Linked DNA regions of Drosophila melanogaster. The protein of the gene in region 2 interacts with the protein of the main gene of each other region in a pairwise test. Each region holds a gene or a part of one and is shown on either strand. Other genes may lie near its edges.

Region 1 (7,571 bases), on a different chromosome or scaffold from region 2:
CGCCACCATGTCGGCCATGGTGGTGTGGAGCGAGCTTACCTTCTTCAGTCGCCACCCTGTGCTTTCCATATTCGCCAACGTTATCTACGTGGCCAAGGAGAGCTACGACTTCTTTACTATTGAAGTCTTCTCTATGGTTGTTCTATGCTACTTCTTCTACTGCACTTACTCCACGATCTTGAGGATACGCTTCCTTAATCTCTACTACCTGGCACCGCATCACCAGACCAACGAGCACAGTCTGATCTTCAGCGGCATGCTGCTGTGCCGTCTGACACCACCCATGTGCCTCAACTTCCTGGGTCTCATCCATATGGACACACACATTATTCCCAACGTGAGTAGTAAACATGTTCGTAAACACTGAATTACTGAAAATTTATAAACTATTCCTCAGCGCATTATGGAGACGGTGTACACGCAGATCATGGGCCACATGGATGTTATTGGCATCATCTCGAACGGCTTCAATATCTACTTCCCAATGTGTATGCTGGCCTTCTGTCTGGCCACTTGGTTTAGCCTCGGCAGTCGGGCACTGAATGCTCTCGGCTTCCAGCAGTTCCTGCAAAACGAAACTATTGCTACCGAACTGGTGCAGGAGGGAAAGGATCTTATAGCGCGGGAAAAGCGCCGCCGCCAGCGTGCCGAGGAGGCGATGGCCAGACGCCGTGACTTCAACCGAACCGATCAGGTTCTGGGCAGCGATTACTTGAGCAAATACCGGAGTGGTGGACCCGGTGGACTAACCAGTAGTCGCACGCCCGCCGACGGGCTGCTGCGCGATGGCGACGGCAGCTTTGACTATGCGGCAGTGGCTTCTTCCTCTGCACTGGGCGTACCGCGATCCCTGTCGGAGGAGATCAACGACCGTTTCGGTGTGAGCACTCAGGTGCAGGTGGGATTCCGAGACCCCGACTACGAGGCGGAGACAGATGGTCGAATTGTCGGCCCACCACCCCGAGGACTCTTCGACGATGTCTAGACTTTGGATATGGATAACTCTTTATTTCAATTCGTTACCGAGTATCTCAATATTTCGCTCGCGCTTAAGTATTTCCCGATGCCACTGCTGCTGCTGCTGTTCCTTTACACCCATGTAGACCATTCAGTTGAATAAACCACTAAAGAGGATTCTTATCCATCTTTCGAAGGGAGTAGCGCGGTTCGTTGCTGCTCTCCTGGCTAGTGTCCAGACCACTATCCGTGCTGGTGTCCTGCGCCTCCACGTTCATCGAGATGTCCGTCTCCGATGAGTAGCTTGAGCTGATTGATTCTTCTAGATCAACATTTGTGCTATCCTGGTCGTCTTCCGACGTCGGTTTTCCACTCTGCAGTTGCGATATGGGATGCGGATTTATGCGCTTTCGGCCGCGCAGATAGCCACTGCGAGAGGTAACTGGAGTAGTCGGAAAATACATCTTGGTGCCTTGACTTCAATGACTTGAATGACTTGAATGATGACGGCCTGTCAGAAAGGAAAGCTGTCACTTTCGTAAGGCAACTCTAAAAAATGATTGCCAACAAAATATAGATTTTCGATATTGAGCGCTTAGCCTCAAATTCAATTCAATCCAGAATATTTATATATTAATGTTTAGGTTTATGCAATGCCTTTTGAACGGTATAAAAATATGCAAAATGCTGTTGGTAATCTTGTCTGCTTATAAATCAACATTTATTCGTAACCCAGAAATCACAGCAATTGCAACATGAGCTTAACAAAGGTGGACATATTTCTTCTGTACGTGTGTGAATGATAAATAATCGAACAGTGAAGAATCCATATAGGAAATATGTACAACCGACGGGCCTCGAAGCACAATATGCTAAGGCCCAAAGATCCAATGTGTTGTGCCTTCCTAATGGGTTCCCCTGCTAGCCTGTTTTGGTGTTCATGTGTGATCTTGAGTGGGAAGTTAATCCTATTATTCATCGCCGCCACCCTCTTCGTCTTCATCGAATTCGCCCTCCTCATCGGCAGTCGCCTCCTGGTACTGCTGATATTCAGAAACCAAGTCGTTCATGTTGCTCTCGGCCTCTGTGAATTCCATTTCGTCCATTCCCTCGCCGGTGTACCAATGCAAGAAGGCCTTCCTTCGGAACATGGCGGTGAACTGCTCCGAAACCCGTTTGAATAGCTCCTGAATGGCGGTGGAGTTGCCAATGAAGGTGGCCGACATCTTGAGACCTCTGGGCGGAATATCGCACACCGCTGTCTTGCAGTTATTCGGGATCCATTCCACGAAGAAGCTGCTGTTCTTGTTCTGAATGTTGAGCATCTGCTCGTCCACCTCCTTCATGGACATGCGGCCACGGAAGATGGCGGCGACGGTCAGATAGCGACCATGTCGCGGATCGCACGCAGCCATCATGTTCTTGGCATCGAACATCTGCTGGGTCAGCTCCGGAACGGTAAGGGCCCGGTATTGTTGCGATCCTCGCGAGGTGAGCGGTGCGAATCCGGGCATGAAGAAGTGCAGCCGGGGGAAGGGTACCATGTTCACGGCCAGCTTGCGAAGATCAGCGTTCAGCTGGCCAGGGAAGCGCAGGCAGGTCGTCACACCAGACATGGTGGCCGAAACCAGATGGTTCAGGTCACCGTAGGTGGGCGTGGTCAGCTTCAGTGTGCGGAAGCAGATGTCATACAACGCCTCGTTGTCGATGCAGTACGTCTCATCGGTGTTCTCCACCAGCTGATGCACACTCAGGGTGGCATTGTAGGGCTCCACCACCGTATCGGACACCTTGGGCGAGGGCACCACCGAGAAGGTGTTCATGATGCGGTCCGGGTACTCCTCGCGGATCTTCGAGATCAGCAGGGTTCCCATGCCGGAGCCAGTGCCGCCACCCAGCGAGTGGGTCAGCTGGAAGCCCTGTTGGAGAAAAGTAGGGTAAACTTTTTCAGATAAATTCCCAAACCCCCAAAACTTACCTGAAGGCAATCGCATCCCTCGGACTCCTTTCGCACCACATCCAAGACGGAATCCACCAGTTCAGCACCCTCGGTGTAATGACCCTTGGCCCAGTTGTTGCCTGCTCCCGATTGGCCAAACACAAAATTGTCCGGCCGGAAGATCTGGCCAAAGGCGCCAGAACGAACCGAATCCATGGTGCCGGGCTCCAGGTCCACGAGAATTGCGCGTGGCACATACTTGGCACCGGTGGCTTCATTGTAGTATACATTGATGCGCTCCAGCTGGAGATCACTATCGCCGTAGTACGTTCCGGTCGCATCTATACAGTGCTCATCCGAGATTACCTCCCAGAATTTACCACCGATCTGGTTACCGCATTGACCGGCCTGAATGTGTACAATTTCACGCATTTTGATAGTAAAGTTAGGGCCCCTTTTTCACACCGAAAAAATGGTACAAAAAAAAATCGAGCTTTTAAAACAGTCTGAGTGGGGCAAAAATCGGCAAAAGACTGAATATTTAAACGTATAATTTTTCAGGTTTAGATTTTAGTCGTGTACGTGCTAGCTGATACTGAGGTGAACTGAACCTGGCTTGGATTACTACACCGAATGTTCACAAATAGGCTACTACGATTTCCGACTTCGACACATTTCACACACCCCGATTTCAGAAAACTCAGTTCTCCGTTTTGAGCACAAACTTTAATAGTACTTACATAGATAAACGAATATACGGCTAAAATTCGAGATGGGATGGATTTGGCGGTGCCTTGGAAGCAATAGAGGATTCCAAGGCTACCGACCAGATGATACGATTGATATTGACATGGATGTCCTGGATTTTACTCCTTTGTAAATGTTTATATGGGTGTATAATGGGATGGGTCGATTATTTCTTAAGCAAAAACTGCCTTTTAAAGACTATTAACCTTGCTCTCCAAACTTATATGTATTATGACCCATCCTGGTTTAAAAATCTACGTAGGGAGGAAGGTTTGTCTAACAACCAAATTTTGGCGGCGGATGGTTCTCTACAGGATTGTAACTACGATTTGGTGATCCATTGGCTCTGGCTCCTACAATGAGGAGTCCCACAGCTGGCTGTACGGATATCAGACGGAGGCTCGCTTCAGGCACAAGGTGCTCTCGATAATGTCGGTAGGCTGAAAGTCCGGGTCCACGAACTGCTCATGATTCAGGCACCTGGTGCCACCCATGCAGGTGCAGGAACACAGGGAGGCGGTCTCATCGTTCTCCGTTGTGTAGTTGTTCTCCAGCAGCTTGCCGTGCATATTGTACGTGGACTCATCATCGAAGGTCACCGGCTGGGCATTTCCAGCCAAGTTCTGAGCATCCTGCTCATCTCTCTTGGCATCCTCTGCTTGCCTGTGATTAAAAATCCATTAAATAAGATATTTCCTGCAATAGAACATGGACTCACATGGTCATGAATCGGAGCACCAATAGATTGATACTGGCGGCCACCACGGCCAAGCCGAATAGGATGAAGACCAAGCTCAGCGCCACATAGCCAGGCTTATTAGTTAGAGCTTGGTCGTTCTGCAATGCCACATAATCGCCGAAACCAATTGTCGTCAAGGTGACAAAACAATAGTAGAAGCTATCGAAGTAGCTCCAACCCTCGTATCGGGAAAAGACTGCTGCTCCAGTGGTGATTATTATGGAGGAGAGCATTCCGGTGGCCAACATGAGATTCATTTCGGTGGCATCCGTACAGCGAGCTCCACTGGCTCTCTTTGCCCGCCTTATTATCACGGATGCAAACTTATTCAGACGTTCTCCGATAGACTGGAACATCACCAGACCCAGCGGGATGCCCACCTAATAAGGGAATATCTTTAGAAGACTGGAAATTGGGATTGTAAGTTCACTTACCATAGCATAGCCCATACAAAATGCTTTTCCCGGAATTGTAACTGGCGTAGAATGACCATATCCTAAAGAAAGTTACAACAGAATTATAATCTATTCAATAAATCATATTTAATAGATAATTAATTTACCTATCATTGCCAGTACAACCGTGCTGAAATAGAAAGCTCCAGCGAATTTCCACTGAGGTCCGGCCTTGTGGGGCTTATTTTCAATGATGACGATTTCCATCACACGGAAATCCTCGTCAGTCACATTGTACTTTCTAACAAAGTTGTTCTTAACGGCTACAATTGATTAAATAAATTCATTACTAAGAAATTAGGTTAATAAATCAACAAGCTTCTCACTCTGTAGGAATTCCCATCTTTTGGCCTCCGTTGGTGACTCCAGGGAATCGAACACGGCGGCTCCAATTAAAAGATAGGTGAAAGTGCATACCACCAGGGAAAGGGTACGGACATTCTGTCGCTTCATCATATAGTCTCAAATATAATCACTACGATCTATAATCAATTAATATATTTTGCACCACGCGCCTTTTTCGTTCAGTTAAAGATGCTGCGTCTGACAAAATCGATAGTTGTCAGCAAAACAAACACACAGCATCCGCCAAAAATGGTTGATTTCGGTTACAGTGGCCGAATAACATATGATACAATGAATTTTAAAAATTTCATCATTCTTTAAATATGTAATAAGTTTTCTTTTATCTATTGATTTGACCGTTAATCTCAATAAAGGATTGTGATTTTACCGTTAGTTTATCACAACAGAAGCAACAGAATTTGATGGCGTTGCCACTTGGCGGTATCTGTTAACTCTGTACAGCTAAAAAGCTGTAATGTCACGATAACTAAGGATAATAATAATTTTTTTAAAGGATCAATATACACAAACAACATAAGAGTTTTATTACATTTTCTTTAATTGCCTTTAAAGTTTTTGTCTTTCTAAGCCATTTTAACAATTTAACATTTTGCAGTTAGCAGCGCCGATAACTTGACAGCCTATCGATTTTCGGGAAAAGCAAACATATCGCCAGATCTGATTTGTTTATGCTAAAAAAAAACCACGCAAGTTCCAACCGATTGGATTGTTGCAGTTGGCTGCTGTGTCTCTGACGTCGACGTTTCCATGCTTAATTAACCGGAAAATGTTGCGAATACGTCGGCGGTTCGCTTTGGTAATTTGCTCCGGCTGCCTGCTGGTTTTCCTCAGCCTGTACATAATCCTCAATTTTGCGGCGCCGGCAGCCACCCAGATAAAGGTAAATAAATGCTTCTAAATCAATTCGAATGTATAATAACTTCTTTATTTTAGCAGCCCAACTATGAGAACATTGAGAACAAGCTGCATGAGCTGGAAAATGGTTTGCAGGAGCACGGGGAGGAGATGCGGAATCTCAGGGCGCGTCTTGCCGAAACATCCAATCGCGACGATCCAATAAGACCTCCACTTAAAGTGGCTCGTTCCCCGAGGCCAGGGCAATGCCAAGATGTGGTCCAAGACGTGCCCAATGTGGATGTACAGATGCTGGAGCTATACGATCGCATGTCCTTCAAGGACATAGATGGAGGCGTGTGGAAACAGGGCTGGAACATTAAGTACGATCCACTGAAGTACAACGCCCATCACAAACTAAAAGTCTTCGTTGTGCCGCACTCGCACAACGATCCTGGATGGATTCAGACGTTTGAGGAATACTACCAGCACGACACCAAGCACATCCTGTCCAATGCACTACGGCATCTGCACGACAATCCCGAGATGAAGTTCATCTGGGCGGAAATCTCCTACTTTGCTCGGTTCTATCACGATTTGGGAGAGAACAAAAAGCTGCAGATGAAGTCGTAAGCATGCTTTCCCTATATAGTATTGATACAATAATGAATAACGGTAGTTAACCCACAAAACAAAGTGCAATGCCATTTTGCTATTGCATTCCATAAACCTTACACAGTTGTTATGTGCAGCAGTGAAATATTTTACTTCGTTATTGCGTCAAAAGCGTTTAGATAAACAAAATGCATGATCACGCTGCTTGTTTTCCGAAACAGCTTTGTACTTATCTACCTAATATTTATAACCCAAAGCAGAAATAGGAATTGATAAGCTTTGCAGTCTCAACAACTACAATATTTAGTTTTTAACAAAAAATAATAAATTATTTACTTATTTACAGCATTGTAAAGAATGGACAGTTGGAATTTGTGACTGGAGGATGGGTAATGCCGGACGAGGCCAACTCCCACTGGCGAAACGTACTGCTGCAGCTGACCGAAGGGCAAACATGGTTGAAGCAATTCATGAATGTCACACCCACTGCTTCCTGGGCCATCGATCCCTTCGGACACAGTCCCACTATGCCGTACATTTTGCAGAAGAGTGGTTTCAAGAATATGCTTATCCAAAGGACGCACTATTCGGTTAAGAAGGAACTGGCCCAACAGCGACAGCTTGAGTTCCTGTGGCGCCAGATCTGGGACAACAAAGGGGACACAGCTCTCTTCACCCACATGATGCCCTTCTACTCGTACGACATTCCTCACACCTGTGGTCCAGATCCCAAGGTTTGCTGTCAGTTCGATTTCAAACGAATGGGCTCCTTCGGTTTGAGCTGTCCATGGAAGGTGCCGCCGCGTACAATCAGTGATCAAAATGTGGCAGCACGCTCAGATCTGCTGGTTGATCAGTGGAAGAAGAAGGCCGAGCTGTATCGCACGAACGTGCTGCTGATTCCGTTGGGTGACGACTT
Region 2 (8,493 bases):
GCAAGCTTAGGAAAGTGGAACCGGGCTTCTGGGGACGAGCCATTGCAACAGGAAGTGGATCTCGGCCAGCAGCAGCAAATTGAGGAGCTGGGATGGAACGAAAAGCTAGAGGACCTTGGACAGCAGACGCAAGTCGAGGACACGGACTGGAACCAGCAGGCAGAGGATCTCGGCCAGCAGCAGCAGGTTCAGGTCGAGGATGACCTCCACTTCGACCAGACGCAGGGTCACAGCAGCAGCAGCAACAGCAGGAGTCAACCTCTGCAGCAAGCAACGAAGGTAAGCATTCACGAGGGGATTTGACATTGGAAACTCAATGATGGTACTCTTCCAACAGGTGGAGGTGGAAGCCACTTCAGAGCCGTCGTTCTGGGAAAAGCTAAAGGAGAAGCTCGGCTAGAGGTCAAACCAATTAACTGCCATTCATCAACGGACTGTTGTTAGTCAGAACTAAAAAGTTACTACCCGAGAGGAAACTCTCAACTAATACAAATCTTAATATTTTCTACAAATCTTTCTTTAATCCTCTTAGTTTAAGACACAAATAAATGACATTTACTGTGCAGCGAAAATAGTGAACGTACTTAAATACTAGTATGTAGTCTATGGAGAGTAACATTCAAGTTTCAAAATAAATCTTTGGTATCAGTTAAACTTAAAAATTTACAAAATATTTTTCTCTACGTTTTCCAAGAAACTATCAACAAAAACTTAACACAATATAGCAGATATTACACTGATAAAAAGATAGAGTGGTTTTTGTGTTATTTACCAATTAAAAAGGAGGCTAAGGGCATCTGGTCTATAAAGTTTAAAGTAGCTTAAGTACTATAATTTTCAAGTAGGTGCGATTCTATAGACTATTTTTAAAAATTTAACGAAGTCACTTATATAGTGCTCTGATAAGCTCTTACTATATCGAACGCATTTACATTTTTGATTCGGATTTAATCCAAAAAGCACAATTTTGGAGCAGAAAGTAAATATATTGCATTTTTCACTAAAACTAAATGTTTTGGTATAAATCTTTGCAATAAAAATCATTTTCAAGCCCTTAAAGTTCACATATATATAAATAGGTATAGAATTGAGTTATCTGTGTGGCTAATAATGCAAACTGTTTGCTTGATATATCTGTTTTTTTTTTGTAGGAATCATTTTGAGTTTAGGATATTATTGGAGTACTTAAACTTTTGAACTCGGATCGGACTTAGGCTAGGCACTTAAATTTCATAACTTATTAACCTATGTGTCTTATACCAGGTGCAATATGTAATGAAATAAGATATATCTCTTTTGTTCTTATGCTTATCTATTGCAAGTCCTTTCTTCATTAACTAAAAACTTCGATTAATTGCATATTTTATACGACATTTTTACAAACCTAAACAAATCAATATTTAAAATAATAGAAATTGGCGCAAAATTAAAAAATAGAAAATGACAATTCAAACTAAATATATTTACTTCAGACCGTGTTTTTTAATGATTTAAACTTTGATCCCTTGATTAATAAGCATAAGTGCATAGAATAGACTGGAACATTAGTTTACAGATAAAGTCTTTAAGATAGGAAAACTGGTCAGCCAAAATTAATAAGACTCAGATGGCCAGTATTCCTGGCCAATTAAAACGGAAACGGATTTCAATGTGTCTTTCAAAGACGTGCTCTTTACAGGAAACTACAACTGCTCATTAAGTCTGCTATGTACACCTCTTAACCTAATACTATGTGCATGATAGGTCGTCTTAAAGTGATTCCAATCAACTTACATGGGCCTCCAGCTGGGAGTCGCCAGCGAAGTGCGTTGCCCGGAACTGAAGGCCCTCGGTGAGCTCCTCGACCGCAGCTGATTCCATGCTGAGTCCATCGCCAGTCTCCTGCAGTACATGGTGCTTCAATTGCTCGATCTGATGCAGCAACTTGAGCGTTCTATCATCCAGATTGTCATCCTCCAGACGAAGCTGACGCTGCTGCTCTCGCTCCTCGTCCACGTCCCATTCCAGCGACTCTGGCGTGGATATGTGCGACCAGGAGTTTTGCGTAGACGAACAGCACGAGTTCCGCGTGAGCGAACCTCCGTGGCGCTGGCAACTCAGTCTGGCTTGGCGCGCCATGTGTCGTCCTTGGCTGGTGGCCATCGCATTGGCTGCCGCCAGCTGGTCTAAGGATGCGTAGCGCGGCTTTGGTGGCGTTGGTGGCAGCTCCTTGGGCACCTGCTGGCACTGGTACTGATACTGCCGCAGCTGTGAGTACTCGTGTTCCCACTCGAGATCCAAGGAGGAGCTGGCCCGCGAGTTGGCCATGCGCTGGTAGGCTCCAAGTCCCATCTCCGTCTCCCGACTGGGCGTGGTCTGGGCGTTGAGCAACTTGCCGGCGTCCAGGTTCTGCATTTGAATGTCCGCCATGGCGCTGCAAGGATTAAGTTGGTTTTATTTCTAGGAGGCACCTTAGGAGACTTAACATACGTGGTCGGCAGCTTGGCGTAGCTGGGCTGCTGCTCCCAGTACTTGTCCAGGAAGCTGGGACACTGCTGCCTTTTCTTGAGCCGCAGGATGCGGTAGATGAATCCGTTCCGTTGGCAGCGCTGCCTGGTGGTCCTCGATAAGAGATCTGCCTCTGGATCTTGTCTTCCTGCAGATCTGTTCTTTCGCCTAGAAGATGAAAGATACCACTTTTTATTAAAGATGTTTTTAATAATTATTATAAAGTAAAAGCTTTTGTTAACTCTTAAAGAATATCACATATAACTAGTATTTACTGTTTACGTATTTGGTTGCAGTAAGCACCCACTTGGGCGGGAAGCCCGCCTGTGGCACATTGTTTTGTGGCAACCAGCGGCCGTTGCATAGTTTTAGGCTGTTGACCCCCAACTAGCCAATTCCACCCCGTGCTTAGCCACTATTGATTGGTCAGCGGATTTGCGCGCGAACGAAAGTCAGCGGAGTTGAGCTTCAACTAATTGGCCCCACTCACCAGAGCCAGCTGTTGGCCACCCAGGACGTGGGGGGAGTTGTCAGTGAAGACGACGTCGAGGAAGTCGAGTGGGTGGTGGAGTCGGACGTTGAGGTGCAGGCGGAGTGGGCTGGTGCGGCGGCAGCTGTGGCACAGCTGCCAAGGCATGAACCCATGGAGAAGGGGCTGCTCCTGTCGCTGCTACAAGATCCTTGCTGGCTTCGATGCGGCTGCACTTGGCATTTCACGTCACTTTTTCGCCAGCCAGGCGCCACATTTCATTACGCTCGGGTCAAGGCTCCGCGGTGATGGCCCCTTCCCGTGGGCTTTCCGATTACCCTTTTGGACTCCGGAGCCCCTTTCAACGCAACTCCACACACTCCGCGGCACAGAGCGTAACTGTTTTTCATGCGCCGAGTGCGTCGACGTCAGTGAGTGACGGTGACGCCCCCACGCTTTCTTGGCTAAATGCTCCGTAAGCCTAGTGACGGAGTTTCTGTTTGGCCCTGCAGCAGTTGGGTGGTGGGTGGTGGCCACCTTTTGAGAGTCAGCTGTTTCGACTGAGTGTTGTGGCTTTCGCGTTTTGCGCTGTCAAGTGGCTAAAGTCAACAGGAGAGCAAAGCGTCTTGTGACAGGAGCTTTCGTCACTACTTAAAGCTTAGACGGACGCTCAAAGTTAATAAATTCACGGCACGGAGCGCTTTCGACTAGCAGTAGCTTTATCAGGGGTAATAACGGGAAATGTTAGGGTATTGCAGGACCGACATGATGAAGCTTTGCTTGGGGTGTAAAATGGGAAATGTTAAGGCTTGTAGGACCAAATTGTGTGAGCTTTGTTAGGGGTTATAAAGGGAAATGTAGAGCAAAGAAACCAAGTTCTTTTATAAATTTCTCTTTAATGAAGTTTGTATTGCAGCATCCTCTTCTTAAGATAGCGATGTTAACAGCAAGCTAAAGAAGTCTTGCCTTTTGAACTCTGACATTTATGGTCACAGAACTTGGAAATGCGTTTGCAGTCCCTAGCTGTAAATGTGTTAAAGTGCTAAGCTATTATTCCATTATGCCCGCTCAAAGACCAAGTAACAAATGTTCAATGATTAGCGAAGATGAAAAACATGTTTTCACTGTAAGACAGATGAGGGAGTTTTGAGGGATAACTCAAAAATGCTTACACAAGTGATACGCCCTGCTCTATTATGTTCAGAAAGAAATAATACGTTTCTTTATTTAGCTCACATATGCACATACTAATACTGGAAATTCTGCGACCTTTGGCTTTTCTCACATTTTTTCTCTCACATGATGAACATAAAATTTAACCCGCCGCATTAGCTGACGGAACGGATAGTGGAGTGGTGCATTAAAACACTCGGCGGATCGTTGGATTGATTGTTCGCTGTTTTCGGGGCTGTTAGTAGCAGAAAGTGCTGTTTGGCTCTGCAGCCAGGGCTATAAACATATGTAAGCTAACATAAATCACGGCCAACCGCAACATTTGTTTATCTTTTTAACATGCCGCAGCCGAAGTGAATCGCACGACGGGATGCTGCTGCCAGTGTGAAATCGGCTGTCGTTTCGTTCGGTTGTCGTTAGTCTGCGGTACCGCATCCGCATCAGTATTCGCAGTCGCAGTCGCAATCGCTTTTGAATCCCGAACCCGAATCGGTAACGGTATCAGAACCAGAATCGGTTTCGTTAGACGTGCGTGGACGTGGTCTTTCTTATTTGCACTGGCCAAATAGTTTAAAATAGTATTTTCGATTGGCATTAGTGGCGGCGAATGGTTGTTGTAAATCAACTGCTGTGAGTGCTTTTATTCGATATCCCATGCCATTTATGCACCTCCGCTGCCCACCGGAGGAGCTGCTGGCTTTGTGACGGCGTCTGTGTGTCTGCCGCGTGGTCCCCTAATTTAGTTATGTTGCAAAAACGGAGAACGGCAGAGGGAAACATGAAAATCCGTTGTTATGTTGTCTCGCTGCTCTATTTATAAATTGATTTGCTGATTCCTGCCGACATCTGACGCCCCATCCAGCAGCCAGACATTGCCACGGTGAGTTATTAGTTTCTGGAAGCAGGGCGACATCGGATGGAGGAGAACGAAGTTGCAGATGGGGCATCATTGAATAGTGAGTTCGCAGGATGGCCTGTTTAGGGAGCTGCATCTTTTACAAAGGATCCTTCCGAATTGGTTTACATCTGCTGGGAGAAGCTGTGCAGGCAATTGATTGCACTTTGAATGTTTCATTAGCCGGCTTTCAAAATAATGCGAATTGTATGCAAATCTAACTTCAAATTTAATTTTCTTTTTGTTTCATTTATGAAACTAAGTACTAAATGCGTAGCAAATTATTATTATTATTTACATGGCCAATGGCATCCTCGTAAAGACCAATATCTACTTGTTTAAATTAAACCATCCTCTGTCTTTATTTCCAACTTAAATTGTGCGTTTCCAGTTCCCGCGGCACAGTCTGACTCAGATATTTATATATCTTCCTGACGGCCGTCTACGTGGTGGCAATGTGCACCGAAGTGCAAAAGCCGGCTACTATATATGTAAACAAACGTGCAGAAATCTGCAATGATTGTCCGATCGAAAAGATTAATATACCGTGGAATGAAATCGTTTTAAGAGGTAATACGAATTTACGATGCGCTGTTTGCGGTTAGTGTGAAATTGAAGTTTTATGTTCACTTCAGTAATAAATAAACACAATCGTCATTAAAAAGTTAGCTCTAAAGATCGAATCCTTTGGGTGACACAAGCACTTGGTTGAATTCCCTGTGCTGTGGAAAAGAAAAGAAATAATAATTATAATTAAATAATTAATTTCATTTTGATTGATTGATTCGGTTCGGTGTGATTATAGTGCAGAAAGGAAGCACTCCTTTCTCATGCTATACGTACTTTTACCCGAAGAATACGATAGAAGATTTCTGCGCCACGGGCTTGTTGCTATTATTCGTTATTCATTTTTGCGTGTGAAAGGAAATGTAAATTGATTTATTATGCAAAAGCGAGTAAATGCTCCCTAGGAGACGGAAAGACAGAGCAGAAGTCAGACCGGCGGAGCATTCACCGCTGGCTCCTTTTCATCATGCGGCTACATCACTTCGAAGATGTGGGAAATATCCTTTCTGTCTGCGGGGCACAAACATTGCTGTTTACAATGATTTAAATGCATTACGAATTCACGGTCCATTTACATTTCGCGGTTAGTTCTATGGATGCAACAATCGTCGTCGCGTGAAAATACACCAGACAATACATTTTGGTGTACCAAACTATCACGTATTTATGTCATTCATACAATAATACATATATTTTTGACCATCAGTTGGTTGCTTATCAATCAGGTGAACTTTGGGTCATTAACGCTTAAATCTAAAAAACACATTTTATAAGAAACAAAATTGAATCTTATAAGATGTCAATGGTTCACTAAAATCTTCCTCAGCATAACGTTCAAAATCTTTGTTTAGATATCACAACCAAAATGAATGTTAAGTCGGCCGGCTTAGAAATCAATTAAGTTTGCAATTCGGTTTCAATAACCCTTACTTAATGGAAAATCCACAACAGCTGTCCCCAAGGAGGCATTCTAATTGAAATGCATTCATATTGCAATAGAATGAAGAAATTGACGAGACTGGAAGGACCTCCATGGGTTTACTTGACTGCCGTAGCCGGAGTGTAAAACAACAGCTGACAGAGCAAATTGCTTTTCGCTTATGACACGAGCAGGAATTAAAAACAAGGAAAAAATTCTTCTATGCATGCATGCAGCAAAACAACCACGAAAAGGAAGCTGATAATTCTGATGGTGACGATAACGTTGTCCCTGGCATTTGAACGGATTTGAGGTCGTTCGGAGACTTAGGGTTCGTCACTGCTCTGATATCTTCCTAATGCTGATCCTCTTTATTGAAAACTCCTTAATCCGTGAAAAAGATGCAAGCCAGGTGTGGGTCTGGTTAAAATGGCTCATAAAAATCTTAAGCATAAAAAATGGTGTGTCCGCTCGTCTGTCCGTATGTATGATATACAAAATCTCTTCAACTATTATAAATTTGAAAGCTTAGATTAAAGTTTATAAGATATGATTAAGTACGGTTGTAATCAATAAGCCGTGTAAAGGGTATGGGATAGCCGTGTAACACGAAAACAGGTCTCATTCCTTGCGGTAAATGGAAAATTGAGCAATGACAAATTAAATGTACACTTAAGCCTAAAAGCATGAAGCCATGTATAATTTCTTTTTTTTATTAATATTTTCATCAATAATGGCAACCTATAATTTCTCCTCATATTTCAGGGGTAGCGTGCATAAAAGCCAATCGCAATTAAACGTTGATCGATTCCAAAAGCAAACACAACATGAGCCGGAATATACTGTAATGCTGCACAATATTTGTACGCAATAAATAATTAAGTTTTCTTAATTGAAAAGCTAAACAACGGTAAAAAAAAGGGGCATCAAACTTACAGCAAAATGGCATACCACCTCGAAGCGATTTCTTCGTTTCTGTATGTGGGCCTTGGTTGCCTGATTGCCTCCTCTGTGGCACTAAGTACAGATACTGGAAGTGAAGGCAACGCCGGTAACGTCGGTGGCTCAACCCTAAATAATGGTGAGTAAAAATAATATTTAGGAAATTAATGTTATGTCCTTTATTATAATTATACTTATTGTATCACGAAAGGAAAACCAAAAAATTCTGTTTAAAATTATACTTCATTCTATAGCAAACAATATAGTTAAAATGTTTGCTGCAGATTGCTCTTTTTTGGGGTTTTTAAATGCAGGGAACGATAATAATAAGTATTTGTATTAATCAAATAAATGGACTTAATATGTGCAATCATCATTCTCTTTTCAATTTGTAATTTATCCGGAAAAGTAAAATATTGGTGCACTAAGCTTTATTCAATTAATGGTAAATAATGATGATTGTAATTTTAAATGATGTAAACAATTCGATTTTTATCATAATCAGATATTCTGCGCTATTTACTTATAATAATAAGGGTTTTATGGTAAATAGCATGGTCCACCTATTTATTACTTTTAGTGTATAATATTATTGCTGGGGGTTGTGTGATTTGACTGAACTCGACCATATCATGTAAACATATCATTTAAGAATGAAAATGCATTAAACATAAAACGCCTCGTTTGATTCGAAATGCTCTCAAAAGGAGCGCGAAAAAATGTAAAAGAACAAATAGTCGAATAAATCTGCACAATCTGCTCCTCAAGTTTGCGGCCTGCAAATGTAATTTTCATTAACGTTATTAATATTTTCATTGCTCAGTATTTTACGTAGCATACTTCCTTTCCCACTTTAAATACCCCAGAACCACCCGCTGGTGGGACTTTCATTGGAATAATAACTTTATTATGACGCGTGTTGTTGTTGGCTTAAAATTTTCATGGCTTAATAATTGCTCATTTCACTTGCAGCTGCCTTTTGTTTGGATTTTATTATATTTGTTGTTATTGTTGTTAACAATTATGAGGGCACTTAAATAA
Region 3 (6,777 bases), on a different chromosome or scaffold from region 2:
GAACCTTTTGGCTGTGAAGGCCGCACAGGAGCTGGAGGCGCAGCCTGTCGGCTTTGGACTGAGCACAAGCACACCCACCGAATCTCCCCTGGCGCCGGCCTTGCCGCAAAAGGGAACGCCCAAGGACAAAACTTTGCAACAGAAGCCAGAGGAGGAAAACTACTACCAGACACCAAGAAAGTCGATTATCAGTGTGGACGACAAGATACCCTCCTATTATCCGAACAGCTGCGACACACTCAAGTCAAAGCGACGCAGTCCCACCGAACATGGACCTAGTTTTAGGCACTTAGTCAGTTCCAAGTTGCGACGTGAACGAAAGGAGAACCTCTACATTTCCTCGCCCCAGCAAATCATTGAGCAGCGTCACAAGGCGGCCACCATCTCATCAGCATCAGTATCAGCCAAGACTAAAAGCTCAACCAAAAAGACTGCCGCCCACAAAATTTCTGACAGTGTTTATGCAGTCACCCATCCGGTAAAGCGTCCGAACAGCACCAATAGCAACAATACCCACCAAAGCAACAATAACAATAACAATGAAGGCGTGGATGACGAACTGCTGCACTTGACCGTTTTGAAGAACATTGACTTTAAGTTTGATGATAGCCAAGCATCTGAGGATTCCTGCAAGGCGAAAGCATCTGCTCTTCCCGTAGCGAACGAATGCTTTGTACAGCCAAATCTGGAGAAGGAGTACGAGGATCGCTTTCAAGCGGCGGAAAAGGCTAGTCGTCTTTTGCAAAAGTATGCGACGCTGGCCAAAATCGGGCATTCGCCCAGCAAGGCGTTGCCCGCACCAGCGCGTCTGGAACCCATGATTCAGTCTGTGGCCACGTCCAATGAGTTGCAGCCCGAGGGAGGCACCATGAAAAAGTTCGCCTCCCTACCACGCTTCAAGAAAATTGACTTTTCGCCGCTGAAGATGAGACTCAATAGTGTCCTCCAGAGAAATCCACCTTCGCCGCAGCACTAAAATGGATTCTCCGTTTTCCGTAACCATGTTTAACACTTCGCTGTGGACACAAACTGCTTTTTAACCATTTCGCTATTTATGTTGTAGTTTCTTGTGAATGTGATCTGATTAGTTCGACAAGTTGATTATTATGTTATCCGAGTATATAATACGCTTTCCCACGATGCACTTAGTATTAAGCCTTATATGTATGGTCATCCTGCTTTGTCAAATGTATTTTAACGAACCATATCCGGATCCACTTGGGGGGTCCCCTAGTATTACTACTGTTGTGAACCAACGATGAATGTCTAAGAATATGCTCAATTATGAAAATTTACAAAAACGCTTTTATACGTATTAAACCAAAAACCACATTGTTGACTCATTTAGGCGCCTTGTTGTTAAAGAAAAACTAAATTTAGCTAAACAATTTTCAATTCTACAGATGATTAATCGTCTACCAAAATGGGCTTACGCCGCATCAGATATTTTTTGGCGGCGTAGCCTGAACTACGCTTTTCGGCTTCGCATAACATATCAGAGATTAGTTAAACTTACAATAAAATGCTTCAAGATAGCATAACCAATGCTGAACTGTACCGTGACTAAACCATAAGCTTACAAATAAAATATGCCACAAAAATGAAGTAAACTTTACAAGCAAATGAAAAGGTGTTTGTTTGTTTTCAAGAAGGAATCACTTTATTTGCTCACTGTCTTAACTGTAAACCATGGGTCGTCGCCGTTCGTTTATAAACTCCTGTTCCACTCGCGAATCCTTGTGCACCACATAGAAGAGCAGAGCGCCACCGGAAACGAAAAACCCCTTTTCGGCGATTATCTCGGCCAGCTGCTTCTCCTCGTCCACCTTGTGGACACAGCCCACCTTGCGGTTCTCGTAGTAAACGTGCACGTTACCCAGGCGGTAGTTGTGTGCCTTGTCGTATGGCAGCTTTTCGGTGAGCAGCGTCGCCAGGCAATCCCGCATGGTGGTGGTCTCCGGCAGCTGCTGATAAAAGTCGCTGTACAGGAACTCGGGGTAGGAGAACGCAGCCGGCCAGATCAGAGTGCTGCCGTCCTCGTCTAGGTGCACCGGATGGTCCTCCAAAGGCAGAAACTTTGGATAAAGGAGCTCCTCACTGAGGACGTCCTTTTTGCCAACTTTTTGATCGTCAAACTTAATGGCGCGCTGCTCGATGGCGTCGCGGAGTCTGTGGAAGCGTGTAAGCCGTCGCTTTGCCTCGGCAGCTTCCTTGCGCTGATTGCGTTCTATCTCGAGCTACGGAAATAACTTGTTTAATGTGGGTTCCTATCCAGTTGGATCACGTATTCTAACCTTCTTCATCTTGTTCTTGTGCAGCAGCGCGATGGCCACCTCGTTGTCGACGTCCACCTCGAGCAGCTCCTCGCACATCTGGGTGCACAGATCGAACCTCTCCAGCTCGTACGCACACTGTGCCGACCGCCAGCGGGCCTTTGTGTAGTCTGGCTTGTAGAACAGAGCTCGCTGGGCGTCGCTCAGCGAGGATCTGTAGTTCTTGATGAAGAAGTGAGCCGCCGAGCGGTTGTTGTAGAGAACGGCTAGCACGTCGGGATTGTCCGTCTTGGTCTTGATGCCCTCGGTAAAGCTGTAGATTGCCATGCGGAACTTCTTGTGCTTCATGTAAAAGTTGCCATCCTCCTTGTAGTTGAGCGCCAGCTCGTCGCGCGTGTTCTCCTCCGGATCGTACTTGAGCTTCTGCAGACCCTCGAACATCGGATGCACGTCATCCCCTGGCTGAGGAGCACGTTTCATGAAGAACGGGTGCTTGTCCATCTCCTCCTGCCAGCGGTCCTCCGGCCAGCCCTCCTCGTAACGTTTCTTCTCCAGGCCATCGATAAACGCATCCAGTTCCGCGTCCAGCTGGGCCGCCAGCTCCAGACGCTCCTCATCCGTCCAGGCTTTTTGTGCCGCCATTTGTTTCATTTGGTCTAATCAGAAACAGTGTGACCGCAGACGAACCGTTACAATATACCAACTGGCCAAAGGTGCCGCACATTTCCTAAAGGTGGCGCCTCTAAAATAAGGGTGGCCCTCCGTCTATCGATAGTCGTACGCTTCCTTCTTTAAACGAGCTAAACTCGGAACGAATTATGATCTTAACATCTTAAATCTTAACATGGTAAAACTTTAAGCCTTTTGACGCTTTACGCAGCTGTTGTGATATATCAGAAACATCGATAGTCGCCATAACATATTGTTATTGTATGAGAGTTTTAAAATTATCGATGCGCTGATGACCCCTTCATCGGCGTTTTCCCACCCCTAATTGGCAGAGACGCGACTGAGCTGGGACGTACCGTTACCGTTGGCAGAGACGCGACTGAGAAATAAAATTAAAACGTCGACGTTCCTTCCTCGTAGAAGAAACCAATCAAAATAAAAACAAACAGAGCGTGCGTTCGCGCCAAATACTTAACAACAATTAGCAAACGTAAGAAGCAAAGTGAGTGTCGTCGGCTGCGGGAGCCCGTGTGCCCAGTTTGGAACTGGGATCCGACCCAGTCCACGTCCGTCTCGTCCCCGCTAAATTTGTAACTCTTGTTTCCCCGTCTTGTCCCCTCAGTGCATACCCTCACGGCGGCCATTGAGATGGACAAGCTGGATGCCAATCTTGAGCAGCAGTTTGATCTCAATCTCATCGAGGCTGTCAAGCTGAACCCAGTGATATACGACAGGTCGCACTACAATTACAAGCACTTTGTGCGCAAGGCCCAGACCTGGAAACAAATCGCCGAAACGCTCGGTGTGCCTGGTAAGTGAAATTCGGCTGGTTTTGGCTACGGGTTTTCTGCTTTCTGTCAGCCGTCTTCGGTCCGTGCCCCAACCAGCCCCAGCCAATTGATTAATTCTGTGCGGGCGCAGGTCGAAGGGGCGGGACAAGTCAGTCGACGACGACGACAGAAAACGACGCAAAAGTGAACGGCGACGCGGCGCAGTAGCTGGCTGATGGTTAGGAAATGGCAGGGGGGGATCTATACGTGTGAGGGTGGGCGCGGGCTGCACCGCTCATAAATTGCATTTTATGCGAACTTTTTTTACTGCATTTATATGGTTGCATTTAGAATACAGTTCATTAGTAATTAAACCTAGGTTAATTTCTATCTGTAAAGATCTGCTCTAAAATGAGCGCCCCTTTCGGGCGCTCGGACTGCGGCCCTGCTTGCTCTGTCGGTGTGCAGACTGTGCTCAGTCGATATTTTTGAAGTTGCTGTACTTTGCCGTCGCGTCGCAGTAGTTGTCTCGCTCGCTCCGCAGCCATTCTGCTTGCGCCAGCGTTTATTTTCGTACACTGCGACTGCGATGTGCGCTGCTCACACACGTATACATGCATACAGCATACAGTGGCAGAAAACAGTTTGGCACGGGTTATAAATACGTATTTATTAGTAAAATAAATAAGTTGCTCAGTTCTTTAGACGAAACTATGGATTTTATTTTAATATTGAATAGGATGAGAATTCGGAAAATTAAAATATAGGGCTTTGGAAAGGTCAATAGATAAGCACAAATTAGAACAGCTGTGTCAACACTTCAGAGTCCCACTGTACATACCGGAGACCGACCAGGCAGCTTTCGTTTCGTTTTCATGAGTATACCAACAAAATGTACCGTTCACCCCACCCCCTCGACGGCCGTTGATCGAACCTTAAATTTTCGGCCAAATCGCTGCACCTCATCCGCTTTCGATTATGCAAGTAGGTGGCTGGAAAGCTGGAGTTGCAGTCAAGTGGAGCCAGCAGCAATGCCACAGGTTTCCGTCTCCTGGCAGCGGGCAGCGGGAGTCGGCGACGTCACAGCCACCGTCACGTCAACGTCTCTGCTGGCGCTGGGAAGCTGCTGTCCGCTGCCTTCCTTCTGCCACCGACGCTGCTGCTGCCAACGGTTTGTTTTGGTTCCCGATTTGATGCTTCTTTGGGTGGGTTTGATGGCATAGTTCTAGTTTCTGCACAGTTCCGGACTACACTAGTCCAGAGCTTCTTGAAGAACCTTCTGTGGAGAACCGCCACGCACAGCTGCGCAGGTGTGCTTGCACCGGTTGTTATGAACAGGTCTTCGAGAAAAAAGCATTTATTCAATGTAACAGAAACAAGATTTTAGTTTATATTAGATTTGTAATATTTTCAGAAACATTTCATTTACTTACGAATCTGGTTTCTTTTTTCTTTTCATTTATAGAGGTATACTTTATCAAGCATTTGACGGGTTACCCTATAAAATAAAATACATACAGTTTGTCAAGAAACTGTTTACACACTGTGAAATAAGTTGAATTTTTGACTTTAAAGCTAAAAATAAAGGGTTTTTTGCTTAATTAAACGCAATTTTTTTTATAAAATATAATTAAACAATATTTATTTTACTTATAAATCAAAAAACAAATTAAAAATATTAAATATACAAGAAAATAAACAACAAATTCCAAGTTTACACACTTTTGAGACTGTCAAGAAACTCTTTACACATTTTGTTTTCCTACTTTGTTTTGTTCTTTTTCTTAGAACGAACTCGATTTTTCCGTTATTTTTGGCTTTGCATTGCTTTTTACAACGCTTCTATTGAAATTTGTTGACTTTGCTTGTGAAATTTTGCTGATCAAACGTGCTTAAAGCGAATTATTAAATTTAATAAAATGCCTGGAAAGAGATTAACTTTTGAAGTTACCCAATTAATAAACTATAACCACCAGTTGGGAAAATCTTTTCCAGAATTAGTATAAATGTTTCCTGTATCCCGTAAGACCGTCTACAATGTTTTAAAAGGCTCGGAAAAAGAGGGCAGGCTTGAACCTAAGAGTGGTGGTGGGCGGAAAACCAAAATTAACAAGCGAGTAGACCGCCTTATCATGCGAAAAGTGATTGCGAACCCCTGAATCTCGGTCAGATCACTTGCTCAGGATATCAGGGAAGAATGTCACCTAACTGTGTCACACGAAACTGTGCGCCAAGTCATCCTACGCCATAGGTACTCTTCAAGAGTTGCAAGAAAAAAGCCTTTGCTATCAGAGATCAATATTGAAAAGCGTCATTCATTCCCTGTGAATGATGGATCATGCGGAAGAGTACTGGGATGACGTCATATTTTGTGACGAAACAAAAATGATGCTCTTTTATAACGACGGGCCAAGCAGAGTATGGCGCAAACCGTTGAGTGCGCTAGAAAAACAAAATATCATTCCAACGATAAAATTTGGAAAAATGTCACTGATGGTGTGGGGCTGTATCACCAGCCGTGGAGTGGGAAAACTAGCCTTAATTGAGAGCACAATAAATGCCGTGCAATATCTAGAAATGTTAGAAAACAAATTTGAAGGCCAGTGTAGAAAAAATTAGTCTGGTTAGCAACAACAAGCCAAATTTTAAGTTTTACCAGGACATGATCAGAAACATAAAGAGTGCAATGTACGCACCTGGCGCCTTAATAACTGTGGTAAAGTGATCTATACGCCCCCTCAGAGTCCTGATCTGAACCCCATTGAAAATTTGTGGACCTACTTAAAGAAGAAGGTGGCAAAAAGGGACCTAAAACACAACAACAGCTTATGACTGTAATAGTCGAAGAGTGTGAAAAGATCCCGTTTGAATATGACCTGCAAAAACTTGTCCAATCCATGAAAAAAAGGCTTCAACTTGTAGCTAAAGCCAATGGGGAACATACTACATACCAAAACTTTTAAAATTTTAATAAAATAATTAAAAAATTTAGGATTAAACTTCGATTTAGTGTTTTGTGTAAAGAGTTTCTTGACAGTCTCAAAAGTGTGTAAACTTGGAATTTG
Region 4 (6,981 bases), on a different chromosome or scaffold from region 2:
ACGACCTGGAGCAAGTGGAAATTAAATTGCCTGCAGTTAAAAAACACTTTGCCCAGCCACCAGTCACAGTACCAACAATGTAATAAAAGTCATCTTCTGACACGCCCACTCCACGCGCCCCGTCGGCGATGTTCCCAATCCCGGCTGCTCCAGCAATGGCATTTGCATACTTTTAAGCGCAGATGAGCAGAAATCACTCATACGCACGGGTGGCCCATTAAAGGGGGGTTGACGATGGGGCGGAGCCAAGGCCCACGGCTCACGGTTCAGGCTCAATCCAGCTGTCGGATTTTCTTGCTACCGCTATTATGACGGTATTTGCATTGTGTTTAAACGTATTTGAACACGATTTTCAGTCAAGGGGATTGGATGAGTTGGCTTAGTTTGGGGGTAACCGAAATGAGCAGGCAATTTATTTACGGTCAAATTGCGAGGTTAGGCAAGGCAAACAAAGCGGCGCAGGTCGCTGCGCAATGGGATCCCCCCGGATCTGCCATTGTGGGCGTAAAAATGTGATAAATATGAAATGTGATTATGGCTGCTATTATGTAGCACCCAGCCAGGATGATGATGAGGCTTATTATGGAGTTGCCTTCGTGTTGGCGAATCTGTGGTCGCCCTCGGCGTCGTTTTGAGTGAGTGGCTGCCATGGAACTGTCTGTCTTGCCATTCTGGATGCGGTGGCTTCCTTGGGTAAATGAAATGGGGAAATGTGATTTTGACGATGTGTTCGCTTTACGGCAATGGAAGTTCATATGGGTGGCGCTTGTTTGTTTTCGAGGGCGTCGGAAGTTGTAATTGTTTTTTAAAGGAAGCCTGAATTGCTCATTGGGGAAATGCACGAAATAAATCAAGACGAGTGACTATAAACGGGATATCTCGGAATGGGCGGTAAAATAAAACTTGAATTGTCTTCAAATTTTTTGCCTCAGCCAGGATTTTGGCAAAAAGAACTGAGCTAGTGAGATGTCTGTTAAAATCAAGACAATACTTGCGGCATCATGAAAATTATTACCATTATTATTAGGAACTTAGATTAGAAATGTTGATAGATTTGCACACGTTATTACTCCAATATTATTGATAATAAGCTTTTATTTTAGGTGTTGCTCCTTACAGGCTTACCACCTTGTACCCCAAGTCCTTTTATCTCTTCACCTTAATGCTCCACACCAATTTGCTTACATTAACTTTCCCAGCAATTGTTTTCCACCCCCCACTCCAGCCATGTGAAAGGAGCTTGGAAAATGTCTTTATCAAGTGGCAAGCAGCGAACACAAAGCCATAAAATGCTAATCCCATCATGGGAACAATGAGCAGAGCGGATCGGAGCAGAGCGTTTGCCGTTTAGCGATGCCATCAATTGATACATCAGTCGATAAGGCAGGAAGACGTCCTGTGAGAATCCTGGCTGGCTGCTTGGCTTCTGTGGCACGGGGCTAACAGGATTTGGCCACGCTAAATCAACGCAATTCGATGTGGCTCATTTGAGTGCAGCAACGAGCCAAGGAAATCGCTGGGGGAGCAGCCACCACCCAAGGAATTCGTTGCGCTTTGTAGGAATTTGCTACGCTACAAATTCGAGGCTCATGGGAACTGAATTCCGGAGGGTTGGCAAGTGTGGAAATATTGAAATTCGAAATACATTTTTGCCAAAAACTGCACTAGTACTCCGCGATGATGGGTTATCCTGGAAGCTCGTCGTATTCGTCGCGCCGTCTAAACGAATGACTGCCTTTTTTGGGCGCAGGACAACCCCGAAGTATCCTTTCATCTTGTTACAATTTCGGTTCCCAGCTCATTAGCGTCGGCGTCGCAGTTTTTGTGGCCGCATCTAATTGCTGCATGCGGCCAAAATGAATACTGCTGAATCGCAACTACAGAATTCACTGCCTCACTGCGCTAATAAGTTGAACATATTCTTCGCTCTACTAACATGGCGTATGTTACTTTTGGTACCCGCGAAAATCTGGTGCTTTTTCTGGTCCTGGGAGCCTATGTTTTCGGTCTACCTCACAATCGAAATAATGGGTTGTCCGGCCAGGAATTCAAAGAACTCCATATGCTGCCAAATCAAGATATCTTCGTCTTCTAGAATCCCTGGTTTGGGATTCTTTTTTTCAAAAATTAATTGAATTTTAAGCTCGGTTGTCTTTTGGGATTTCTTATTAAGGTGGCGTCTATATAAGCTTAATCACATTATTTCGAAAGCATAGACAACTCATTGGCTTTTGTTTAAGCTTTTCAAAAATATTTGATTGCAATAATCCTCAAGCTCATTTTCATAACATGATTTTAGAATACTTCAGATCTACTACAAGATAAAATTTCCCATTAACCCAAATTTTATTAATAAAACGTGATTACTATTGAATTGGCATAACAATTAGATTTTTATTGAAACATTCAGCCACACATTGAATTTGCAACTTAGCCATAATATCTTACAATGATGAAACTGAAGATCCTTTCGGGTCCTTCGATAAGAAAGATAATTAATTGAGATACAGGGAGATCCAGTTACATATTTAAGATACAAATTGCACTACATTTAAAGCTAAGGGGAAATTAAATCGGAGCGTGGGGGAAACTAAAGTTAATATCACAATCGAAAATGGGCAACGGGTTTTGTTTTTGGGGAGTTAGTTGACTTGATGACTTAAAAATATCCGAAGAAATGCTTCGATCATTTGGGCATACCACCCATTCGGCGACCTGGCGGTGTGCCGCCGACCACGTTGATGATCTCGTTGTCACCGGCAGATGAGGATGAGTCCTCCAGCTGCGGCTGGTGATCACTGGCCTTGTCCTGGTGGGCGGTCATGTGTCGCGTTAGATGGTGTCGCTCCCTGAAAGTCTCCTGGCAGACGGGACATCGGAGTTTCTCCTCCCGCTTCCGTCGATTTGGATCGCAGGCCACTTCGCTTTTGTGATGGGATCGCATGTGATACACCAGATCACTGGTCATCCGGAAACTTATGTTGCACTTGGCGCACACATTCTGAGCGGTCAGTGTAAAAGTGGATGCCAATGTGGGTGGAATCAACGTGGAGAGAATGGCTGCTGCAGCGGGATTCTGGAGAGGTTGGGATACCGCGAATGGATGTGGTGGCGGAGCAAATCCGGGATAGGCATGCAGGAACTCCGACGGTGGACCCGGTGGTGAGTTTGCCTGCATAGTAGGTCCTCCTCCATTGGGATTTCCAGGTCCTGGTGGACGGGTGTACAACAACTGCTGCTTAAGGCGCTGCTGTGCCTGCAGAGCCTGCATGGGATTCACCGCCTGGAAGGCTCCGTTGAACTGATACTCCGGTCGGAAGTTGTGGTAGACTATGGGATTTGCTGGCAGGGGATTTGGATTCTGGCCACCGCTATTGGTTCTTGGTGGAGGTGTCACCAATGGTGGACTTATCGAGTGACAGCTTAGCTGATCGGGACTCAAGGGCGGAGCTCCCGCATCCACGGGTGATTCCAAACGTGAAGTGGTCGATGGTGAGGATGATGAAGTGGACAGCGACGAGGAGGCTACTTTGGTAAAAGCGCTGCGCATGGGCGGTGGTGGTGAAGAAGTTGATGGTGCCTCTGGAGAATCCACCAGGGGTATGACCACACTGGGATCATCATAAACCCGCGGCGAACGGATGCTGATCTGTGGATACCGCTGGCGTGCCTCCAACAGACTAATGTACTCCAGTGCCGCCGGCGAAGGTGGTTGCGAGGAGGTTCCTCGAGGAGACAAATCTGTGGGATAGTGGCTCATCTGCTGCTGCTGCTGTTGGTGGTGATGATGGTGCAGTGCCTCTTGAAGGCGAGCCTGCTTCTCGGCCTGCTTTTGCTTAATCCGTTCATCGGGCATCATGAGGAAGGCCACATCGAAGGCGCGTTTAAGAGTGGTCTTTCCACCCGGTGGCGATGTGGGTGTCTCATTGTTGTTATTGTGATTAGTGGTTTGATTTTGCTGCGGTGACTGTTGCGGTGATGTGGAGATCCTAAGCTCGGCGTGCTGAGGCGGCGTTGGGCGACGCTGGCCAGGATTCGCGTGCGACGGCATGCTATCCATGAGCAGATTCATTTTCACTTCAATACACTTTTCGACTTTCACTTGGCTCTGGTAGGGACTTTGGGTCTTTGGTTCTATACAGTTCCTTGCGATTCGAAATTCCAGTTTCGACTGCTGGCCGCCCGCAATCTGTTCCTCTTTAAGTACCCGCTGCCACAACCACCGCGTCCAGTTGGAATTCTCGTATTCTCATATTGTCCCATTCAATTGGGAAAAAGCAACTCTCCGCACTCGCGGCACTTGGCCCATCTGTCCTGATTCTGCTCGGAGTCTGTTCAGATTCAGGTCCTGCAGAGAGCACCACCCTTATGTTCCTGCTCTTGCTCTTTCACTCCCGCTTGTCCTCTCTTTCTCCAGCGGTCTTCTCTCTCTTTCTTTGGCCCACTCTCCGTCTCTCCAGCGTTCCATCTGCTTTGCCAGTTGGCGAACATATTCTGTGGTTTTATTGTGCGAGTCCTAGCCAGGACGACTCCTGGTTGGCTAGCATTCACGGACAGGTTGGCTTGTTCGAAAACCTTGTTGTGCTGTATGTGATGCATTGGTACAATGGGCAATGTTGTTGTTAAAGTTGTGTGATATTATTTAAAAAACTTAATTGATTAAACTTAGAAGGATTTGAAACTAGGGTCATCTATATGAGAAGTTACTCTTATTCATTCAAAAGAGTTGAATATCTTGAAGTAGTTGCGCTTAAACTTCATTAGGTAAATGTTTTCAAATATTTTACAATAAATAAAACTTTTTCGCATGGTTTCCATTTAGATTTTTACCAAAACATTATATTTTACTAAATTATTTTCCCTGTTCCGCCCACTGTGCACTCATCTCTTTTCGCAAGGAGGCGGTGCTTGATCCTGGCCGCTCTCTCGCTTGCTCTCTCTCTCGATTTGCCTCTCACACCCACCCCGAAAATATGGCAGGACCTGCCCTCTCTGTCTGGCTCTATGCCCGTCTCTGTCGGTGGTGATGTCCTTGTTGCAAGTGTTTCCGAACAGGTTGTTTTTGTCGATTTTTTAGCAGTTCCAGCGAGATTGTGTGAATATGTGGCCATGTTTTGTGCTGGTGTATTTGTTGCGTTTGTTGCTGCTGGCTTGGATTTTGAGTATATGCTGCGCGTAGCTTTTACATATTGCCAACTACACACACACACACACACACACACGCTCTGGAATTGGGGTTCCCCCGTTTTGTAGGCGACTGTTGAGCGTCGAAATCTTTCAACATACCGAAATATTTATTTGTCAGTTAAGTTAGCGCTATGTGGAAAAAGTGGCAAGTGCCCAGTAAATATGCACATGCAACAATAGCAAATTGTGCAATGCCTTCCGTTCGTTTTCCGTCTCGTTCTGATCCCCCGTTTATTTCCCTTTTTTCCGGCTAGACCCTAGATCCTGGCAGACCGGATGCAAGGATGTGGCCATTGCCAGGACAAAATATGTGTCTGTTATGGTCAGTCGTGAACAGGGTTTGCAGCTATGGGGTGTATGTATATTTTATTTAAATTTTCGACTCTTTTGTTGCACTTTTTGCTTGCAGCCATGTGGCTGCAGCAGCGGCAATTTAATGTTTGCATATTTTCAGGTGCTAATTGTTCCACTTGCCATATGAGTTGCATTTTTAATTAATATTTATAGCCAACAGCCGAGTGTGCGAGTGTGCGTGTGTGTGTGTATGGGTGCATTTGAGTATCTGTGTGCTGGAGCCTATAATTCGCATGGTCGCCATGTTGGCTGTCGACGAAATTAATATTAAACACATGATTGCCTTCCAACATGGCCATTTCATTAAAAATATTGTTTAGCTTGTATTTAATTAATTGCCGATCGAACAATGCAAGCTCAACCCATGGGCTGATGTGATTTTAAATTGATAAATAAAATGGGATATTCAAATGTTTGGTGCAGTTGATGCTTAAAGCTTATGGAAAATCATTTTAAAATATATAAGAATTAATTGGGTTACCCAAGCCTATTAAATGCTGGAGTCTGAGTAAGTTAAACTATATCTGATCAGTTATCTTATCTTACATCGGACCAATTTCCTCAATATATTACTTATTGTCACATCTCACCAGAAATTACCCCCATTTCAATTGGACTCTCACATATGTGACACGTGTGCACAATTGAAGTCAAGTGAAAATCCCGAACACATTCTCAGTTCATTGCAGTAAATATTTTCAGCGCAAACTAATGAAAATCTCCGATATACAAATCGAGCACAAAATTTCCACTAAACCCAAAGGCTTATCTACCCCTGCTGATCTCGCTCTATTGCTAACTAGATGATTTTGTCTTGTCACTGAGCCAGGGGATGGAACTTTAGGTGGGTTGGTTGTTTGGTTTAGCGCCTGTCGATACATCAAACTGCCAAGTGACAAAGTGATTGCCCCGTTGTCAGGCCGAGACAAAGCGCAAAAAGGCGTGAAATTGCCTTTGTGTGATTAAGTCGAGACCGAAGGAAATGCGAGCAAAAGCGAGGAAATGTCCCAGGAAGCAAATTAAAAACTAAGATGGCAATCTCTCGACTCAAGTTTAGACACAGCTACGTGCTCCTTATGCCCGGGCATAGCATCCTCGCCGGGTTTCAATTATCCTTGGTAAGATAGCAAAATGTAAATGCTAATTGCTTCAAGTTTAGCGTAGAGCTGGCTACGTTTATTCCGGAGACAGCAGACACCTTTTCCGTGGAGATTGTGGCCTCGGTTGATGTTAATGTGCTGCCTGTCTCCCGTAATCTTTGTGTTTTGTGTGGAAATCCTGGAGGAAACAGCTTCTTGCTGCCTGGAGATCTAAGCGAACTAAGTGCACAGAAAAGTAAAATTGTCGAACTTCTGCATGTTAAATTTCAAGTTCAAACAAAAAGATATACATAATATTATTAATACCTTTAATTGTGTTTTATAACATTTTCAAATGGTA

Evidence for each region.
Region 1: the proteins of CG13982 (region 2) and betaTub85D interact in a two-hybrid assay, tested with the Drosophila melanogaster proteins (one large-scale study listed by BioGRID).
Region 3: the proteins of CG13982 (region 2) and Dpit47 interact in a two-hybrid assay, tested with the Drosophila melanogaster proteins (one large-scale study listed by BioGRID).
Region 4: the proteins of CG13982 (region 2) and CG13287 interact in a two-hybrid assay, tested with the Drosophila melanogaster proteins (one large-scale study listed by BioGRID).

The regions. Positions count from the first base shown.
Region 1 is NT_033777.3:9,406,725-9,414,295, forward strand, and holds betaTub85D (beta-Tubulin at 85D), read right to left. Parts: upstream 3,559-7,571; 5' UTR 3,329-3,558; coding exon 2,936-3,328; intron 2,877-2,935; coding exon 1,929-2,876; 3' UTR 1,659-1,928; downstream 1-1,658. Other genes in the region: CG8135 (uncharacterized protein), read left to right, coding at 1-337, 398-985; CG44261 (uncharacterized protein), read right to left, coding at 1,125-1,421; Task7 (TWIK-related acid-sensitive K[+] channel 7), read right to left, coding at 4,033-4,306, 4,362-4,762, 4,817-4,878, 4,945-5,100, 5,164-5,293; alpha-Man-IIa (alpha-Mannosidase class II a), read left to right, coding at 5,970-6,083, 6,137-6,666, 6,999-7,571. UniProt on the Drosophila melanogaster protein: Tubulin is the major constituent of microtubules, a cylinder consisting of laterally associated linear protofilaments composed of alpha- and beta-tubulin heterodimers.
Region 2 is NT_033779.5:6,407,343-6,415,835, reverse strand, and holds CG13982 (uncharacterized protein), read right to left. Parts: upstream 3,522-8,493; 5' UTR 3,133-3,521; coding exon 2,978-3,132; intron 2,656-2,977; coding exon 2,470-2,655; intron 2,414-2,469; coding exon 1,765-2,413; 3' UTR 501-1,764; downstream 1-500. Other genes in the region: Tig (tiggrin), read left to right, coding at 1-279, 338-400; DIP-epsilon (Dpr-interacting protein epsilon), read left to right, coding at 7,453-7,591.
Region 3 is NT_033778.4:6,659,005-6,665,781, forward strand, and holds Dpit47 (DNA polymerase interacting tpr containing protein of 47kD), read right to left. Parts: upstream 3,115-6,777; 5' UTR 2,925-3,114; coding exon 2,295-2,924; intron 2,238-2,294; coding exon 1,677-2,237; 3' UTR 1,641-1,676; downstream 1-1,640. Other genes in the region: sced (scrambled), read left to right, coding at 1-976; Adf1 (Adh transcription factor 1), read left to right, coding at 3,444-3,444, 3,565-3,753. UniProt on the Drosophila melanogaster protein: May act as a co-chaperone for HSP83.
Region 4 is NT_037436.4:5,879,498-5,886,478, reverse strand, and holds CG13287 (uncharacterized protein), read right to left. Parts: upstream 4,176-6,981; 5' UTR 4,073-4,175; coding exon 2,687-4,072; coding exon of another isoform or gene 2,660-2,686; 3' UTR 2,389-2,659; downstream 1-2,388.